2 linked regions of the Danio rerio genome follow. The protein of the gene in region 1 interacts with the protein of each later gene in a biochemical or structural test. Links are inferred from orthologs where the notes say so. Each region holds a gene or a part of one and is shown on either strand. Other genes may lie near its edges.

The links.
Region 2: the proteins of cdkn2a/b (region 1) and trip12 form a complex in vitro, tested with the Homo sapiens proteins (2 studies listed by BioGRID). The link is inferred for Danio rerio from reciprocal best matches to the Homo sapiens genes CDKN2A and TRIP12.

What each region holds. Positions count from the first base shown.
Region 1 is NC_133176.1:27,773,104-27,784,254, reverse strand, and holds cdkn2a/b (cyclin-dependent kinase inhibitor 2A), read left to right. Parts: upstream 1-5,340; 5' UTR 5,341-5,602; coding exon 5,603-5,728; intron 5,729-7,386; coding exon 7,387-7,638; 3' UTR 7,639-8,900; downstream 8,901-11,151. Other genes in the region: mtap (S-methyl-5'-thioadenosine phosphorylase), read right to left, coding at 9,103-9,141, 9,262-9,384. UniProt on the Homo sapiens protein: Acts as a negative regulator of the proliferation of normal cells by interacting strongly with CDK4 and CDK6. This inhibits their ability to interact with cyclins D and to phosphorylate the retinoblastoma protein.
Region 2 is NC_133193.1:44,171,294-44,181,838, forward strand, and holds part of trip12 (E3 ubiquitin-protein ligase TRIP12), read left to right. Parts: intron 1-2,259; 5' UTR 2,260-2,308; coding exon 2,309-2,406; intron 2,407-3,846; coding exon 3,847-3,972; intron 3,973-4,080; coding exon 4,081-4,982; intron 4,983-10,302; exon of another isoform or gene 10,303-10,343; intron 10,344-10,545. UniProt on the Homo sapiens protein: E3 ubiquitin-protein ligase involved in ubiquitin fusion degradation (UFD) pathway and regulation of DNA repair.

The sequences.
Region 1 (11,151 bases):
GCAGGGGCTGATGTCAGATCCAGAAGAACAATCTAAGTTGCTTCTCTGCTTCCTCAACAGATTGAATAAATGGAGAGACTGACCTGTTTAGACTAGCACAGTGGTCCCCATGACGCTCAGCAATGTGGCACAGCAATGGTAGACATTCACTTAAGTGAACATATGGTGATATTAAAATAGTCACTCCTAGGTGTGTTCTTCACGCTTTGATTGCAATCACTCTATGATTCATCCACAAAATTAGAAAGGTGTGTTCCACCTGATGCATATGGGTGCTAAAATTAGAAGAGATTTCTTGTCTTCAACATGCTGCTGATTGAAAAATTTCTATAGAAGCAATTGACCAGTCACAGCAGCAAATTGGCAGTTACAATGTGTCAGGATATAGAATTCTTAAAGAATATACTTGAATAAAACAGAACACAAAATAACACAAGACTTTAAATGTATGGGCTTGAATGGCATGAAAACAACAGCATTGTTGCAATGTAACATTTGTTTCTTTATTATATTAATAAATGGTAATTATATTATAAACTTTGACTTTGTGACTACACAGTGTTTTCATATTCTTATACATTCTCATACAATAACCTGTTACATTATGTATAATCTATTTTTGAGAATAATTTATGTAACTAATTAAATCTCTAATAAATAACTAATTAAATAACTAATAAAATAATGGACACTGATGTCACCTTGATCTGTGAGATGTGTCATTCACAAGCAAACTTTTCATTCCTATCTAGATTTTGCCTTCCTCGTCCATACAGCTCTTAGTTTGTCAATTTTGGAGGCCTTATAAGGGATCTATTCAACACGCGTGGATACCACTTGATAACTGCATGGGTCTACCGATTGTTGGTGAGCTGTCCAATCTGAACTTGATGACCTCTCTCACACCGAACTGCTTTCTCATCAGCTTGGATGTGTTGTCTTAGCCAGGGGTGGAGTGGGACACAATATCACACCGGGAAATTTCATATCCACCCAGGCCATCCTTAGTTATCTCTATAAACTATCATTGGCAAATTTATAAACCGTGTGACTCTTCACAATATGCCAACCACTTCATATTGTATTGCGTCTTTGCTGAAGAAAATGGGAAGAGCTTCTTTTGGCCTTCCTTGTGGATGGTAGCAGAAAAAGGGATCTAGATCCTTAGGCTGGGGCCATGCAAAATAATTCTCTTAATGTTATCTTTTCATGTCCTCCATTTCCCTAGTGTCATTCTGCCACTTCCTTCCACCAGTATCATCATACAATTACTATCAACATGGTTGTGAAGTGCTGCAATACATGATTATTTATACATCAATACACATGAATGTAATGGCATCAGAAAGCAATGTACATGTTGTGGAAAATCAGTCAACAGTCACTACAGTTTATTGCTCACCTAACTCTGTAACTCCAATTTTTAAAATTATCTCCAGCCATAAATATAACTTGAAATGCAATTCATGTAAATTCCCAACTAGAAACTTGTGTTTAGATCAATTCTAATAACACAAAAAACACAGCATTAGAACAGAAGTAGCCTACAGCTGTTGTCAGCATCACATTCAATTGAGAATTGTGTACTAGGTTACATTTAATTTAAAAAATAAAATATCAAATTAAACAGGCAAAACAAATCTTGCAAAACTTAGAGGCATTTATTTATTTAGTCAGAGGCCTAAACAGCACCACTTGGGTGTATCTGCATAATTTTACCAAAACAATATTATTTTTTTATTCACAATTATCTAATTAATTAATATTAAATAATTATATATATATATATATATATATATATATATATATATATATATATATATATATATATATATATATATATATATATATATACATACATACACACACACACACACACACACACACACACACACACACACACACACACACACACACACACACATTTCCAACTACCAGTCAAGTTTGGAATCAGTGTTGATTAATGTTTGTAAAAAGGCAGTTCTGCATTTATTTATTTAATAATATTTTAAATATCTGTTTTCTAATTGAATGTAGTTTCAATTTTGATTAATTTCTGTGAATTAAAGCTAAATTGTTTATTATAATGAGTTGCATTTCTGTTATAATAAATTATTAATGGTGCAAAAACACTGCTGATTGTAGATCACTGTTGAATGATTCTTACAATTATTAGTGCTGAAAAGAAAACACTTTGTCTTGCTTCTTAGTATCATGGAAACAGTGGTACTATTTACTTTTAGGATTCTTTGATAACAAAGAATGTAAAAAAAAATCATCTTTTTTTTTTTATTTACTTTCACTCTTAAACGATTTATTATGGTGAATAAGGGTAAACACTTTGATTGATACTTTTATATTGTATTGTATCAGCTTCCCAAACTGACAACAACAATAAATGTTTCTTCTTGAGCAACCATGATGCTAGAATATTTCAAGGATTATATTACACTGAAGACAAATCCTGCTTAAAATTCACCTTTAAACCACAAGATTAATAACATTTTAAACTACATTAAATAAAAAAAAAGTTTATTTAATATTCTATATTTAATATTTTTATATTAAAGGAATGCAAAGCCATGAGTTTATTATAAAACAGATCTTACTGATTACAAACTTTTGACTCGAATAGGGCTCATTTCACAACAGAAATGTACACAGAAAACCTCATCTTAAGTTTGCATATCAACATAAACATTTTTTTTTTCATGATGCAGATGTACTGTCAGAAATGTTGACTATATTTGCTGAATAACATTCTCCAGCAGACGGGTAGTGCAGAAGTTGAGAGGGCTTTGCCTGAACACAATCTTCACCAGCTGTTAAGCAGTGCATGCATGTGACTCATCACTTTTGCTCTAATTCTCAGTAACATGGCCTTGTGCTACTTCTCAAATTCTCACAAACAGCCAATTGTTCCCATGCATGATGTTTGTTTGTGGGTGGGTTTGTGCGTGACAGAACAAGGGAGTATGTATAAGTTTAAGTATGTATAAGTATGTATAAATCAAAAAATTGTCATGTCAAAAATGCCTAAATGCACAAATATATTATTTTAGAACTTTTACAAATTAAATCTGAGTAAAATGTCATTAAATACAAGTAAAACAAAGGTTATGTTATTTGGGAAATTAAAAAGTAGTCATAATATAAATTTACATATTGACAATGAAAATATAAAAAGAGTATATGCAATTAAGTTTCTTGGTGTTGTATTGGAACATAAAATTAGCTGTAGCAATAGTGTATAAAGCAAAATTTATCCTGGACAATAAATCAATGTATATATTATATAACACACTTATGTAGCCATATATGAGTTATTGTGTTGAAATTTGGGGGAACACATATTATTCTAATTTACGATCCGTAAGTACAATGCAGAAAAAAAAGTAATCAGACTGATAGAAGGTGTGGGGTATTTGGAGCATACAAATATATTTTTTAAAATTAAAGATACTCAAGTTCAATGATTTGGTTAAATTTAAAACAGCACAATTTATGTTTAAAGCTAGGAATAAATTACATCCAAAATGCATACAAAAGTTTTTTGAATAAAGACAAGGGGGATATAACCTGAGAGAAGAACTAAATTTTATAGGAGGTTGAAAACAAGGACAACTTTAAAAAGTTTGTGTATGTCTGTCTGTGGTGTGAAATTATGGAACAGATCAGACTCTCAAACAATGTCAGCATGGTAATCAGTTTAAAAAGTTGTATAAATAAATATATATTATAAAAGGAATATAATGATGAAGGTGATTGAAAATGGTATGATGAAACTTTAATTAATGGCTATTTGCAGTACTATGTTTTTTTTTTGTTTTTTTTTTAGGTCTATGTTACAAAATGTAAAGGTACAAATGGATTTAAACATGTCAAAGATGCCAAAAGGATAAAATATGTCTCATGTAAAAAAAAGAGATGAGTGAAAGAAGAAATAGGTTTAAGTAATAGACGAATGAAGTATGTGGTAACGGGGTGGGAAAATAATAGGCTTGTGCTTCATCCCAGTCCATTTTCGAAAATGTTTTTTATTTTATTTTATTTTTTTATGATATTTTATGTATATTTTTGATCCAAAATAAATAAATCAAATCAAAACTTCTTTTTTCCCCCTTTTAATGTAGGAATTTCAACTGTGGTATTAAATATTAAAATGCTCATGCCTATTTACTGGAGTTGTGAAGTAAACTTTGTGCAGGATATCTTTTAGTTACATAGTTCAACTATTCTATTTCTACATGTTGTTTAATATCTATTCAACAAAACTAAGTAAAATAATTCATTTTTAATCGTTGCTTCTATGACATTTAAATTAAATTTTCTATTATTAACACTTAGCCAGTGGGGCTTTGCCAACTATTTTTTTTCTTTAATATTGTACTGCGTTGGTTTGTTATGATTATTTTATTTACTATTTCATATTTTAGTATCTATTTTGCATGCACATTAACCAATATTATTAACATGTTAACAACATCAAAACATGAATAAGTTAGAAAATTAAATACAAAAGCACACTGTTCTTCATTTTAAACAGGTGCATCTCAGAATGTGATTTTTACTTTATGTAAATGATCTACACAGCCACAGGACCCTTTATCTTTTTACTTATTTTCAACGTATTAGAGAGGCAACAAACTCACTGCTAAAATTAAAAACTATTTGCTACAATTGTTTAATACCTTGTTTCTGGATACAGGCTATAGTTTAGCTACAGTCGTGTGATGGGGAAATAGCATTACAAAACTGTAAGTCAGACGATGTTTGGGCAAAATTATGGCCATTCGCGTCCTTTCTATCGTGCAGAAAATAGATTTATGTTCATCTACAATCAAAAACAGAACAACCATTATGAAAAAAATATAAATATAGGCTACCACGAATGTATGTATATGCTTTTTTGTTATAATTTATGTGGATCAAAAATATAGTTTAACTTAAGCGCCCCACACAGCATAATGGCTAAATAATATACTTTAAAGTAGCCAAGTCAAACTTAATCTCTACAGGCCTAGCTAACATCGCGTCTTAATCAAAATCCATAAAATAACTTTACTCTTGAAAAACGAGAGATTTTTCCTGGTAACGTTAGCCTATTCCCGAAGAGTAACTTCTCCATGGCACAAAACCCAATTATGTTAGCATAATTAGCGTTGTGATATGCTTATGTACCCGAAAAAAAGAATAAAAAAACTTCTTGTGATCTAAAAGCAGGCTAATGCCAGTTACATTAGCCATAAAACATTAGCAGAACCTAATTTCTGTTTCTCTGCAGCCTCTCCTACTGTGTCGTAAACTCATGTCTTCCTGACTCAGCTGTTGTGCGCAGGCGCAGTATGACAGTACTGCACCACGGTTTTGCTGTGACGTTTATGACAGAGACAAGTCCGAACAAATATCTCGCTACGAAAAATTATTTTAAGACACAACACTTTGATAAACGAGTCAGTTTCGCTTATTTACGCATTATATTGGAACATGTTATTCATGGAGACCGATAAAAATAAATTACAGCGTTGAACTGATTGTTTTCGCAGTATCATCATCATTTGGTTTTACCTGTGAAGCGAATTAATTTCGAAAATCAATAAAGATGATGAACGTCGAGGATGAACTGACCACAGCAGCAGCCACCGGAAACATTTCCCATGTTCAGTTTTTACTTTCTAACGGAGTGAATGCCAATGTGGTTAACAAATTTAGAAGAACGCCTATACAGGTAGGTTTAGACGCGCTTTAAGAATAAACAACGGAAATAAACAAATGCAAATAAATAAATAAGATTAATTGCAGATATGTAACATTAAATTAGTAACATACAATTCAAAGACTTATTTTGTATTAAAGGTCATATTATTTAACAAATTTAGGCTATTTCATATTTTCACACCTGTTTGACTATATGGGATTTACTTTTCTTTTTTTTTTTTAAATATTAGGCTATTTGTGTATTTATTTTACTCATTTTAGCATGTTTAAGAACCTTTTAGGCTACTTAAACGGCCTGAAACATGTTTACCAATAGCGTGTTATCAACCTATATAATACTAACAACACTTTCTATCTTTTAGTAATGTCATTAATTTTAACATTATAATTTTAACTTATAGCTACATTCTTAGAAATTAGTCCGAAATAAGACAAGGAGTTTTGGATGTATTGTCAAAGTTCAAATTATTCAAAGAAAACTAAAATCTTATTGAAAACGAAAGTCCCAATGTACTATAACTGTGTATAAAAACCAAATGTTTACAATTATATATAAGAGATAGATAGATAGATTTATATACATAACAATAAATAAATAAGACATTTTATAGATCTTAATTTCAGATAAATTTTAAACTATTAAATCATATCTCTATGTGCGAGAAGAATGGCACACTACTTGCTAATTCACTCCCGAAAGCTTTGTTGGCATCGATGGTTTTAAGAAGAACCTTTTGCATCTATGGAGAAAATTTTTGAAAAATGTGCCTTTAAACTATTAAAATGTTTATTTCATTTTTTGACAATAAAAATACTTCTTTTGGAAGCTTTGTAATAGGTTTTCTGTGCGGAACCAGAAGGGCATCACTGCGAAAACCCTTTTCCTCTTATTGCCATGCTTGTTTTTACGAATGTACGTTTAATATTTTGACATTTGTACAGTTGGCCTATATTGACCAAAATAATCAGCCACCACTAGCACAGTCATAGACTAATGGAGTATATATTTTAGACCATACTTATTTTTGCTTGTTTTTATAATCGTGTAGGCCTATTATTATAATATTTGGTGTGAAAGTTTTCATCTAATTTTCACAATGTCCAATGGTTTTACGGTTCATGCTCTCGGTTACGGGACATCAAAAGCCGAAGAGGTAGCCTACAATAAAGTGCGTATAGATATCTTTTAGCACACTTTAAACAGATGGACAGCATACATCCAGAAATCGTAAAAGATTAGGCAATTGTAAAACTTCTGACGAGCATGAATTGCCTCAGAAAAATGTCAATTAAACGAAAGATGTTTAAGAAAATCACAAATGTGAACAAAGCATATTTATGGCATACATTTTATTTAAAATGATTATAGGAATCTTCATAATTAATCATATGAAAAATAAGAATTAGCTACAACACAATTTGTTGCATTTAATTGATTTACTGCCCGTGAATAATTTATTGATAGGCTAAAAGAGTAATGCATCATGCACAGCAATGTTCAGTGCCAGCATGTGCACTGCTTTCGTTCCTATTTAACCAAAAAGTATCTACTTTCCAGATTTCGAGTGATGGCAGTAAAATTATTGATTAAACAAACTTCTTTACAGTGACATCATGACGTTACTGGCGTTTATTTTTTCATGAGACAGCAATTTTCCCCCTCTCCAGGTGATGATGATGGGTAACGCACCTTTGGCTCTTGTGCTGCTGGAACAGGGAGCGGACCCTAATGTGCCTGACCCCGACACAGGGAGCACACCTCTGCACGACGCTGCCAGAACCGGATTCATTGACACCGTGCGGCTTTTAATCCGCTTCGGCGCCGACCCCAATACAAAAGATCACTGCGATTTACGACCAGTGGATGTGGCACAACAGACTGGCAACGTAGACGTGGTTGAATTACTCAATCGTGTTTAAAATGTTTAAAGACTGCATCACTGCATAGCCTAGGCTACTTTAGGTGGTAACCTTATTAATGCACTCAAGTACTTATAATTCTCAATAGCACATGGTCATTCATGTAGTTTGGAGATTCTAATCATTTAAAATTTTATTTCTGTATCTTTTAAGTTTATTTATTATTATTATTTATTATTAGCTAGTCAATGGGAACTTCAATAAAAGGCTACAGACACAAACCATCATACGCTCATGCTAGCCTATAGTTCGCATAATAAAAAGTGTAGACAGCATTATGTCCAAAGATAAATAAATAATTAAATAACATATCCACCTATTTGTTTTTAACCTGAAAAGCATGGCGACAAACATTGAATCAAATGGCTTGCAACGCAAGGACATCCAATATTTTTGGCGAGCTCTTTCTTTTTTCATTTCTTCCGGTTAAACATGCTTTTATTAAGTTTATAATATTGTACGACTAATAAAAATGAAACTTTCTATTTATACCAAGGCATAATTTAAATAATTTTGCTTAACGTGGTTAGCTGTTTGTTAGCTCTGTGTGGTTAAACTGTGTGGGTTAACTGACAAAAGAAACATTTAGTTTGTGCGGGATGTTTGTTAGCCTTTATTCTTAACTGTACTGTAGTGTTGAATTGATAATTGTTTCTTTTTTTCTGGCTACTCAAATACCCGGTGCAAACTAAACCCGTATGTTAATTAAGAGTTTAACCTTAAAAAACTATATATAGCCTAATAGAAAACGAGGCGCTTCATTTTACATGCATAACTCGTTTAACTAAGTGCAGGAAAGTGTATTAAAATCTCTATTTTTTTAGAAAGGCAGAGAGAGGAAAAAAACAGACAGAAAAGTTAAATAAGGCGTCGATGTAAAAGAAAACGGTGTAGATGCAAAGGAAACGAAGCAGGTAACGCTTGTCCAAAAAAAATCACTCCTGCATTTTTGTCCCCCTCACATTTGTATCCAAGTTTGTTACAAATACGCACTTTGTTCTTCATTCTAGAAAAACAAACGTGTTGCTGACTAAGTTACATATTTGCTAATTCAAATATAGTACAATGAATAATATCCACACAAACTGCATAGGGAAAACAGCATTCGTTTATTTGTAGGTATGACAGCCATTTATTAACCAAAATACTTGTATTTATATTTAAGCTATTTATGTCATGCTTATATTTGTGTGATATTGCTACTGCTAATGTAAAAGGCACTAAAACAATTGTAATTATCCCAAGATCCCGTCTTTTCCCTCTACCAGTGCTTTCATGCATATGTCTAAATCTGTTTATTTGTTTGTTTATTATAACTGCACAGCCATTTCAGTGTGGTTAACATACAAATCCCCCTTTTTTTTTTTTTTTGGTTGATGGTGGTAAGAATATTACACTTGTTTAAAGATAAACAACTGCAGTCATAGACACTACATTTTCATGACTTCTCGATGGCAGGATTTGTTAATGTTTGGGCAACATTACTGAGGACTGAGACATCGACTGAAAAACAACCAAGAGAAAAAACAAAATCAGATGTGATGGAAAATGTTCAACTCATATATTATGTTAAGAAAAAAAGCTGCTTTATAATTGCAGTATTTTAATAAAAACTCAACTCACTTTATGTGCATTTATTGTGCTGTCCCAGTCCATCTGGCAGATTTGCGGGATTGCTGTGAGCAGGATGCTGCTAGCCTTATTTGCGTTCTCTTTCATGGTTTTCAAAACATTGTCCACACACACCTAGAATAAAAAAAACAGCTTGGTATTTGCAAGAAAATTATGATACAAAGCAAAAGCGTGTCAATTAAAGCACCAAAAATCTATTAAACATTATTGTTTGTGTATGTTTGTGTATATTTAAGTTTTCTAAAAAAAATGGTAGCTTTATAAAGACATTTAAATAAGGTTTTTATTCATAAACATTGTTCAGACAGCATTTACAGCATTTCAATTAAGCTTAAGTATATCACATCAGCACAATGAGGATTGTTCTCACACATCTATGTATAAACTAGTTAAGCTGTCCAATGTTTATATCAGAATAAAATAAACTAAAAACATCTAAAAATCTTATAAAGTTATCATGTCTCTCACTAGATTTGCATTAAACTGCTCGATTTATGTGGATTAAAAGAAATCTTCATAAAAAACTAAACAAAATCCACATAAAAGAATTTAGATTAGATCTCTTAAGAGTCTCAGGTTTGTTTGCAGTTGCTCTGATAAGGTTGCTGAACTGGACTACATTTTATGCTCAAGTAACAGATAGACTATTGTCTCTAAACTATGAGCCATTTGGTTGTATAATGTCAGGATCTACATTTAACCTACTGCACCGACAGGAAATGTGAACTACACACTTTTTACTTTTTTTTTTATCAACAGTGGTTTCCTCTGGAGGAACTGACTAATTGGCTGCCAACAAACTGTGTATGATTGTCTGTGTATGAATCAGACAGAGATACTGAGAACACCATACAGGGACGGAAGGATGTGATGAAGCAGGGAGTGAAAACTAGAGGTCAGCAGCAGGAACTCGGAAGGCGGACTGAGAAATGCAAGGGGAAGTAAACACCAACACCAACTACCAGTCTTACCGGTCATCCGGCTATCGGAAACAATAATCTGCAGAGAGTTTATTGACTTAAAAATAAATATCCTATAAAAATTCTTCTGAACTAAGATACAAATAACTTGGACGCAGCAACAACACTTTTGCCTATTATAAGGTTCATTCTTTAAAATAGCATTTAAAAAAAATAATAAAAAAAAAAATATATATATATATATATATATAAAAACACATTGTCAAATCTCTTGTTTACAATAAACTATAAAAAAGCACCTAATAACATGAAGCTCTCAATTTAGACTTAAGCACCAAAATAATAATAAAGGCTAAAGCTTAATGGTTTGTATTTGCCACAAACATAAGGACCATTAGAAGAGATGGTCTTGAATGGAACCAAGGCTTTAAATATACATTGACCAGCCACTTTCTTAGGTACACCTTTCCAATGCACATTTCTAATCAGCCAGTTACATGGCAGTAGCTAAATGCATTTAGGCATGTAAACATGTAATGGTGTGGGGGATATTTTCTTGGCACAATTTGGGCCCATTATTACCAACTGTACATCATGTCAACGCCACAGCCTACCTGAGTATTGTTGCTGACGATGTCCATCTCTTTATGACCACAGTGTACCCATCTTCTAATGGCTACTTCCAGCAGGATAACGCGCCATGTTATAAAGTGTGAATCATACTAGACCAGTTTCTTGAACATGACAATGAGTTCACTGTACTCAAATGGCCACCACAATCACAAAATCTCAATCAAATAAAACACCTCTGGGATTTAGTGGAACGGGAGACTCGCATCATGGATTTGCAGCTGACAAATCCACAAAGGATTAAGGCAGTTCTAAAGGCAAAAGGGGGTCCAACTCGGTACTAGTAAGGAGTGCCTAATGAAGTGGCCAGTGAGTGTATATAAACTTGGTT
Region 2 (10,545 bases), on another chromosome or scaffold:
ATGAGCATTATTGCAAATTGAATATTAAAGCATTTATTGCATTTGAAAACAACATTAATTAGAACTATAACAAAAACTGTAACAACTATCTAACTAATGCTGAGATGACTTATTGATATTTGTGCAATAATTCCAAAATTAATGTCTTATGTTTATAAAATATTAACAATAATGATGATGACAATAATACTAACAATGAATTACATTTGTCTTTATCATGCTGCCTTGAATGTGCTTAAATGTGAGTTATGTGCTATAAAAAGTCCTGTTACTTTATGACAAATAAATTGATGGTTTGCATCAAACAAAAATTAAGCATTGCAGTAACAATTATATATTTTGCACTACTGTTTTTATACGCATGTCAACTTAATAAATAATATTTCCGCTACAAAACAAAGGAAAGATTATAACAAATCATTCAATTCAAGGCTGAAAGCTGCAAAGCAATCATCTGAAACTAAATAGAAAAATAATATACATCTCAAGAAAGAATGGCCAGAAGTGAGAAAGAAAAGTCTTACTTTTACCACTCTTTAAAAGTTTTGGTTTCGGTTTGTATCATTTTAAATGCTCAGTCTTATGAGCTGATTTACATTTTTCTGTGTTTGTGGAAAAAAGCAGGCAAGTCAGATGACCAAATATGTGAGAGAGGCAGAGCAGGATTCCCACGATAACCACTGTCAATACCGGTCTGTGTGACCCACGGCGCAAGCCTTGCGCGTAGCCGTGCATTTATACTTCTGCGCGCTGTTCTGTTGCTCTGCAATACACTTCCGAAACACTAGCTGGCAGAGTAGGTGTTCATGTTTCTCTGTGTCGGGTTCCTTCTCTGGTGTTTTGTTTTTTTCTGAATGCTTATGTACAAGTGGCTCAAACTCGTTCATTTTAAAGCAGAAACAGGCGGATGTGCAACAACTTTAATCATAGGGTAAACAAAAAATAGCAGTCACTATCCTGAGCTTCTTCACGGGACTTCATACTTGTAAACACCCACTGCATCATGCTCGTGCGGCTCTCACCTCTGCCCACACTCGTCAACGCTACCATGCCAACCAATCACAGAGCTTGCACTACGCGTACGCGTTATATTTTTTGAGAGGTGTGCATCAGCGACTCCAACGGCCACGGCGAGGGGCTATGCGTTTACGCGTAGGCTGCGACGAAGCATACGCATGCGCTTGATGCAGAAGTATAAATCAGCCTTTAGATTTTACATTTAGCGGACATTTGCGCTGAACACGCAGTGAATGCAACGCATCGAAATTCGGGAACGTTTTCTGAAAACACTCAATTGATCTCGGCCAGCGGATCAGCATTCACCACATGATCGCTGTCGTCGGCGCCATTCTTTGTAACTTTAGGTAGGGTTTGCAAACGTGTACTTTCCACTCTTCAGCAGCGCGGTTTAAGAACGTGCTCCACATCACTTTAATGTTCACGGGAAATGGATGTTTTTAAAATCTCAGCACTGATTGGTATTGAATTTCAATATAGTGACAACCTTAGTAATAGCCAAATATATGGCTTTATGAAAAGAGTATTATGAGCAGGCCAGCATGTAATTCCTACTAATTAATGTGCATTTTATGAAAGTGAAAGCATGAAATTACAGAGTGCTATTATCCATTAAAAAACTGACCAAAAGTTACTATATGATAATTTTTTTTTATATATAAGTGTTGTCATATTTTGTATTAGGCCTATTGTTTTGTTCATTTCTACAATGACACTGCTTTTTTTTAAAAATAGATTCAATAGATAGATTTTTACAAAACTTGACAACTGAAATGAGGCTCTGAATGAGAAAGTCTTACCTCTGATTTATGTTTAGTGAAGATGTATGTGGGCATCAAAATTAAAGTGCACCTTTTCGCTTATGGTGTCTTATTGTTCACCCAGGGTGGTCATCACCGCACAATGCTCATGAATGCTCAAACTATAATGACGCCGAGGAGAAGAAATAATGAATGCTCAAACTATAATGATGTCGAGGAGAAGAAATAATATTTTAAATCAGAAGAAGTTGTAATATTGCGATTGAATCGCTGAAGGCATAAGGTCTGTTTTTGGTACTTTTCTATACTTTTAACAATATAAAACCCTTACTTTCTATAGAGGATGAGGGAACATCCAGATTTCATCCAAAATATGTTCTGAAGATAAACGAAAGTATCAGGGGTTTGTAATGATATGAGGCTACTATAAGTGTACTTACCTTCCTTTTTTTTCTCTCTCTTTTTTTTTTCTTGCTACCAGTGAATGGTAGTGTCTAGAAAGGGTATGTCCCTTCAGGAGAGAGGTGCCAATGTCCAACCGGCCTAATTCCAATCCAGGGGGGTCACTGCGCCGTTCACAGAGGAACACAGCCGCGGCCCAGCCAATAGACCACACACTTGCAGGAAGGTGAGTTAACCAAAGAAGACAGTTCCGTTTGTGCAGCAGTTGCTGAATAAAATGGCATCTATAACTACAGTCTTTTCTCTCTTTGTGATGCATCACTATGTTTCATTTTTAGTCCAAGGCAACAGCCATATTGATGCTTAACAATAAGTAAAGCGTTAAGAAGTGTGTTTATAATTGTTCCTCATTAGCTTCATTAATGTTTTGGTTTCCTAGTTTTTTTCTGAGTGCATATTTTTCTTATTAATTTTAATGTGTAGTTTCTAATATGATTAATTTAAACTAATTTGTGGTGGGATTTTTGTATCGTTGGACTAATTGGACTCTTAATTTGGAAATTTTAGTCATGGAACTGTTTAATTTACAAGTGCTGTGTAATATTGTTACAATTTAAAATAAATATTTTTTGGTTTATATATTTAACTTTTTTTACTTTATGAAAACTGTTAATCTAATTTTGTGTAAAACGACACCACATCAAACGTCATTTTGAGTTTGTTTTAAAAGTTCAAAACATTTCAAAAAGTTCTGTTAAAACTACCATTGGTTTATGATCATTACATGATGATCATGGATCTGAGTGTGTATGTGGAGGTCCAGTTCATTCTAGGATGCTGAAGCTCAAGCGCTTGTTGAATTCTTTGCCTCTGATGTGTCACTATTTGAAGACAAAAACAGGGCAAGGAGCAGGGAGGAAATGTTGAGCTCTATTTATTACTTTAAACTGTTAATAGATTTTTTTGAGAAAAAAATCTGGGATTAAAAAAGCCATCATGTCATGGAGAAAACCTTATAACTCAAATCAGTTTAACAATTTAAGAATCTTGATTTCAAGTATTTGGCTTTTTGTTTTATCAGGGTCCTACAGTCTTTGCTGCAGAGGTGTTTTAAGCTACTTTATACTCTTAAATGAAGAATCTGAAAGATTGTCACAGAGTATATCGGGGCCTTAATAATTTTATTGCATTAAACAGACTTTAAATGTCTGTCTGTATTCTAAAAGGTTTGCCAAGTCTGTCTACATTCACATTTGATTCAAGCAGCAGACTTTCACTTAAATAAAATATACTTTCGTTAGTAATGATGCTATACAATCAGTAGCTGAATAGCAGTGCTGGAAAGACTGAGATTGTTTCTCTGTTAGACGTGTTACATGGACACTTGGGTTTATTATTTGCCTGTGTTCTTTTCAAAAAACTTCTCCAGACAAGTGGCTAGTTGCTTAGTTGCCCATCTAAGAGTGATGCTCTCAACTTATGAGAAATGTCTAGCTAGATAGTCATAATGATTGCAGTTTGTCTGTGCCGTTGGGCTGATTGCTGTGTAGGAAGTGCTGAGAGTAGGACTGCAGTAGTTGTCATCTCGTGAAATCTAATTTGAGGTGTTCCTCATCTGCTGCCCATCCCACACTGCTCTCTGCTGTTTAATTCCCAACCTCTCCAGGTTGCAGCCAGAGCAAGTAAACCAAAAAGCAAATTCCCCACCTGAAAATAGAAGATCTAATTCTAAGGCTTCCAAAGCCCCGCCCAGCTCTGCCGTCGGCTACGCCCGCGGCCACACCTCTCGAAGGTATCCCTTTTTACTCCTGTGTGGGTCTTTTGTGTGACACAAGTTCACCATGCGAGACTACGGTTTCTTGGGTTCTCAAGTTCTTTCCTCTTCTGTTTGTTTTTATAGGAACAGCCTCTCTCTATCCGTGGGTTCACTCTCAATTCCAGATCCAGACTTGGAAGCAGCAGGGACTTCAGGCCAACAGGGGAGACGGGAGGGCAGCAGCACCCGCGCACTCAAACGCAGCTCCGTTTCAGAGCCCAATATCACTTTTTCACCTAGTCCAGCCAAGCGACCCAAAGTGGTGTCCAGCCACTTCTCTGACAGTTCAGCCAGTGGGCCCTCGGCCCCCGCAATATCACCTGAAGTTACAGAGCCAAGGAAGGCTCCAGCATCTGTCAGCACCAAGTCCAAAAAGAGACGGTTAGCAGCCGAACCGGCTCCTGCCAGAGCCCTGAGCAAGAAGAGCTCATCCTACCCTGGCCCCAGTGGGGCCTCCAGCACCCCTTCTCAAAAGCGCAAGAAGGCAGACGCCACTTTGTTGTCGTCCTCTTCTTCCTCCTCCCTCCCCAGCTCGAGCAGCGCGGCAGGCCCCCTGCCACCCCGCAGCGAGGCCAGCCGGGCAGCCAAACCCACCAAGCTGGCGTCCAAATCGGCCGCCTCAGCCAAAGCTGGGTGTAGCACCGTAACTGACTCCTCCTCTTCCTCTGCCTCTTCCTCCTCCTCCTCTTCTTCTTCCTCTTCGGCCGCCACAGGCACCAATAGCTGTGCCCCTCAGGGCGCCCGGCTAAAGCAGGGCAAGGACCAGAGCAAAGCTCGGCGATCACGGTCTGCGTCCTCCCCTTCCCCCCGCAGGAGTAGCCGGGATAAAGAGCAGAGCAAAGCTGCCGGCTCCTCCAAGTTTGACTGGGCATCTCGCTTCAACTCCAAAGTCAACCTGCCAAAGCCCAAACTGTCCCTGCCGGGATCGGCCAAGGCTGAGACGTCCTCCAAGCCTGGGCCCTCCGGACTGCAGGCCAAACTAGCAAGTGAGTGCCCACACTGCTGTTCAGAGAATTCCCTGTCATTTCTTTCTGTATTTTTAAAGCAGTGCGTCAGGTTTAAAAAACCCGCCTACCTGTGTTTAGAAGCTCTCAAAATAAGAGACTAGACCAAAACATTAGAAGCAGTTACACACTATGGCATGCTTCAGATCCGTAGCTAAAACCACTAGACCTCTTTAACTGTTAAATGATGTTAATTAATGCCTAGTTCAGACTGCGTGATTTTAGCCGCGATTTTGGCTCGCCGACAGGTTTTGAGAAATCGCCGACAAATGCCTGAATTCACAGGCAAATCGCTGCTCGTGCACGTGAGTGACAATCACAAAGTATGAACTATCAAAGACGCGATCTGAGAGAATCGCCGATGAGTCGCCGATGCCTGTGAGATATTTGGCGTGCTAAATATCTGGAGCTGTCGGCGATTCAAATCATGCCGTGTGAAATGAGTTTTGACTGAAAATAACATCAGCCATCGCCTACAGCCAATGAGAGAGCAGCTTTCACTTGTGTGTGCGTGTGTGTATACCTGCTGCAGGCCAGCGGGAGGCTGGGGGAGAAGGTAAAAGCGCTCTTTTTCGGTTTATTTGGACCCACGAAATGGAGGAAAAACTAGTGGACGTTTGACAGGACTCAGGGGCAACCGTGTCTGTTTGACGTTTTATACAGAAAGAAATTAGTTTATTATCAACGTTGAGGACAAATGGCTAATTCCCTTTAAACCCAGGTGAGCAAACATGTACATGTTCTACCCCATTAAAGGCTTCTTTCTCATTATGTAGTTAATAACAAAAGATATACTACGTGTTTTTTGCTGTGAGACGTAGTTTGGACGAAGTTGTCGGCGATTCTTCCTATAGTAAAGTCATGTAATCTGAAAGTCCCCAATCCATCTTGCAGTGTAAACAAAGCAGCGACGAAACGCTAGCCCAGATAGTCATGCAGTGTAAAAACATCTGTGACACGACTACTTTGAAAATCATGCAGTCTGAACTCGGCATTAGTGTTTTAATTCTAAATATGAATCAAAAACAGCATTTCCACAATCATTTTTAAAAATAGGTAACATTTTAGTCATTTAATGTACTACACATTAAGTAGAGCAAATGGCAGCTTTATTTCTTAGACTACTAGTCCTAAAGTAGTATTGCAATTTTTCCTTGTCTGTTGCATTAATTTGTTCCTTCTAACCAGCTAAATTGCCAGTCTTGTAAATAAACTCTTTTTAAACTCTCTTAACACGCATAACAGCAGCATGCATACATATCTTTACATAGTAGACACCTATCAGAAGAAATACTGTTATTGTTGCATTTGTACAATCTACCAAAGGGCCAATAATTTCATCTACACTGATCGAATCACAATGGCTGCACACACTTGAACTATTCAGTGTCTGGGCTTCAGATTCAGTAGCCGCATTTCCACTATCGGGCCAGTGCGAGCCAGGGCTTTAATCGGGCCGGGGCGGGCCAATAGCCCGGGAGGTTGAGAAATGAGGCTGAAATCATGTCGCGTTTCCACTGTCGGGCTAAAGCTCACAGCGCGTCACGCAAACACCGCCCACAGAACGTCCCCGAATCAAACGTCACACAACCCGCCCACTTCAGCGGGAATGAGGCAGATAAAGCACACCATAAATCATCACGAAACGAAACCATTAAAATGAAGACAACCGAAACAAACAAACGACACGTTACTGTACAGCAGTACATTATATATCTATACGCACAGACCTGTGTATTTCCATTCATTACATTTGTTTACTCGCCGACCGACTGCATTGTGCATGGACTGCTCTCGCCACTAACGCAGGGACCCAACACAGAGAGCGCACACATCCATAATATAAAGCCACAGAAATTCTCCTTTATAACTCGATATGGCATGTATTTTTTAACATCCTCGTTTTGATAGAAGTCGTGTTAAGTTTTCAGCACAAGAGCGAGTAGCCTAATAAAATATAGCCATATTTGTTGCGCTCGGCAGCTATTCACTAAAACTCATCATTTAAAGTTTCATTTATAAATTTAACCACGTCAAATAAAAACATAAACAGTTGTTTGAGGATATGGAACACATTTTGTGTTTGGACTTCCCCCATATGCGTTTAAAGCAGCGAGTGCTGCGCAGGACTGAGTGACAGAAAAAAAGGTATAGGAGATTCTGCTTTCACTCACTCAAATAATGCTCTGTTTGCGCGATTTGATTAATATCATCGTATCCAAATACTTTATAAATATTTACTTACATAAATATTTACTTTATATAAATATTTCAAACCTTCTCCGGTGTTTATTGTTTTTAAAAAATATCGAAAATCTTTTTTTTTTTTTTCCAGACAGGTCTTTGCAAAATGAAAGTTAGGCTATATGTGGCTTTAAAACGGTTTGATTTATGTATTGTATATAGGCTACCTACATTGTTATAGTTAGCTTTTGTTTATTTTATATTGGTTAATTTATTTAATGTGATTATATATATATCCGATATTTGTAATTCTTTAAATTATATTTCAATATAGGCTACCTTAGGCTATTTTATCAAGATATGACAATATATTGTTTAAAGTCTACGAAAGTGGGCACGTATTTTGTTAAGTTTATGTCTTTCTGTTGTATTTATATGTGTATTATCTCCAAAATAAATAAAGAAAAAAGCCGCTCGCGGCATAACAGAGCTGTGAAGGAGCGCTTTTGCCCGGTCTCACACACACATACAGGCATCTAAACGTGCACAAACAAACAAACATTTTAAACTTGACAAAAACTCTCGAAAACGTTTACTGTCTGATGTGTTTTTAATATGGTGTAAAGATTATTATGCGTTATTGAAACATAAAGGAGGACGCAGCAAAGAACGTCACTATAAATTAAAACTACTTTATTATTTTATGCAGCAGCCTTACATTTAAAAGGGAAACATAAGGGTGATCATACGCAAAAAGACCCCAGACTATAAGGCTAGATGTTTTCTTTCCCTTATTTCTTTATTTGTTTGGCGCATGTACTCATGTGCGATCAGAAAACTGCCCGCCTCTCCTTTCACTCCGCCCCAAAGCCCCAGCTGGCCCTCCTTGGCCCAAGGTATTCGGCGGGCCGAAAAAGGCCGGCCGCTGGCCCCAAGAAAGCCCCGCTTAGGCCCGATTAGGCCCCGGAAGTGACAGTGGAAACGCCACTGGCCTTGGCTCGCCCTGGCTCGCTCGCTTTAGGCGCGATAGTGGAAACGCGGCTAGTGAGTGCACATGTACAACACCAGCTGCAATGGTGCTAGAAGTAAACCTTAGTGTACAGACACCTGCTGCAAGTGAGGCATCTGACACTCGAGCTTAACAGAACTGATCTATATGGCTGCTCTTTTGTGGATGACAGTGTTGCCATTGATCGACTTTTAACTCAGAACGTGTAATATTCTTCATATCATGCCCTTGCCAATCTTTTGATCATGTTAAGACTCATAAACTTAGCACTCATGAACTCCATCCACAGAGAAATCTTTTCATGCTTGGGGATATACATATCTTAATATGATGAATATGATCATCAGTGTTTTATTGTTTTTGATCGATTGCAGTGTCTGTATTTTCAAAGCAGAAATTGAGAGATATGAAATCCCCCAAACACCTACAGTTTGTGAGAGAATTCTCAAAATAATGCTGGTCCCGGATGTACAAGAAGTCGACCCCTGAGACAGATCAAACTCTTGTGTAATCTTTTAAAATCACGGACAGCCTTTTGAAAGGATAGACTGTAAATATTCAGTTATTGTTATCTCTGCATTGGAGCAATTCCAGCGCTATGAATGTAACATTTGCAGTAAAAGCTTAAAACATAAATTCACAGAGAAAGTATATATGTTAACATTATATTGAAACATCTGTTTATATTTTCCGAAACAACTTAACTCAAGAGTTATGCAGGGTTTCTGCAGGGTCTTACAAGGTCTTACATTTCAAAATTCAAATTTTAGGCCTTAAAAGGTCTTAAATTTACTGAAATAATGTGTTGTAGGTCCTAAATCTTTTTTTTAAACAGGTCTTAATTTTCCTGTTCATGCATTGCTGCCCAATCTGGTCTAAACCCATATCCAATCCATATCCAATCACCAACAATCCATCTCAATAAAACGTTAACCTTTTTTATTTAAAAAGGTCATTTTTAACTCTATTTATCACAGTGGTTTAGTTATTTTCCTAACAATAACATTTGTTTGAAAGTGCTCCAGTTTATTATAGTTTTTAAAACTTTTAAAACATTTGTTCATTTTTTTTTGTATTCATTTAAGTGTAGAAATACAAGCAGAGCTTGCCTGTTTTTACACAGTAGTTAAAATATTTTGCTAAGACATAAAATCTAAAATAATAATTATTTTTTTATTGTTCTTGTATTATTAAGTAATTTTAATTTATTTAAAAAAATGATATGGCAAATAAAAATCTTTTCCATTTGGACTATTTGAAAAATCCCTTAGCATTTAGCCCTTTATGAGTCTAAAATTTTATTCTTAAATTTAAATTCTTTAAGTCTTAAATTTAACTTGCCTCCTCATCAAAGTTCCTGAAACCAAAGAAGGTCATACACAATATTAATTCTTTTCTGGCTGCACCATTACTTTATGTTCTATAATGTACTTTATTTCTATTAAATGACAAGACTCTTTATCTAAGCCAAGTCAGACCTTACTGTCCTAATCAAATAATTAAAAATCAAGGCAGGATCATATTTTATTTTGGTGAAATACGCAAAATCTAGAGGCCTTTGCCTTTCATATAAGCCACTTCTGATAGCAAATGATGAACTAGAAGTCAAGTCATTATTTGTTGTTCCTAAAACATGAATAGGCGACAAGACTTTAGTCAGGTAGTGTAGAGTATACAACATATCTTGTAGAAATTTATGAGGAAAACCTTTGTATGTGACACCTCATCTTTATAGATGAGACGTGAAATTGCCACTTGTGTGACTGTATCAATGTTTACAAATAATTATATGTCATTTACAATAAACATTTGAGTATTTTTCCAGTACTGTAAAACACATGTCTAAGCAGGGTTTCCATATTTTGGTAAACTTAATTTTTTTCATGGGAAGGTTGACATTTGCATGCTCATCGCAGACATGGTATTTTTGCTCTAAGTAGAATTGGTGTCTTCACTTCAATGATCACACCAATACTGATGATCATTTCCAGCCCCAGTAATAGTGGATGGGGTTTTGGCTCTGGTCATGGCAGGGGGAGCTGGCTCAGGTTTCAGTCCAGTTCAGTGCCAGTGTCCAGGGCTAAAAATACCAGCCTTCTGCTGCCTTACAGTACTCTATGGACAAGAGTCGCGGCTGGATGTATGTTGAGGTAGGAAGGCCTTTTTGGTGTACTTTACTTTGCTGTGCAGATAAGCCTAGCAGTGGTTTGGGCTATCAGAATTCATGGAGGTGGGTTAGAACACTGGCATGCATGGATATCTAAGCTTATTGGTTAACTGTTCAAGATCATATGAGTGGTTTTGGTTAGATGTCAGTCTTGTTATACACTCAAAGGGTTGCTATGAAGTGTT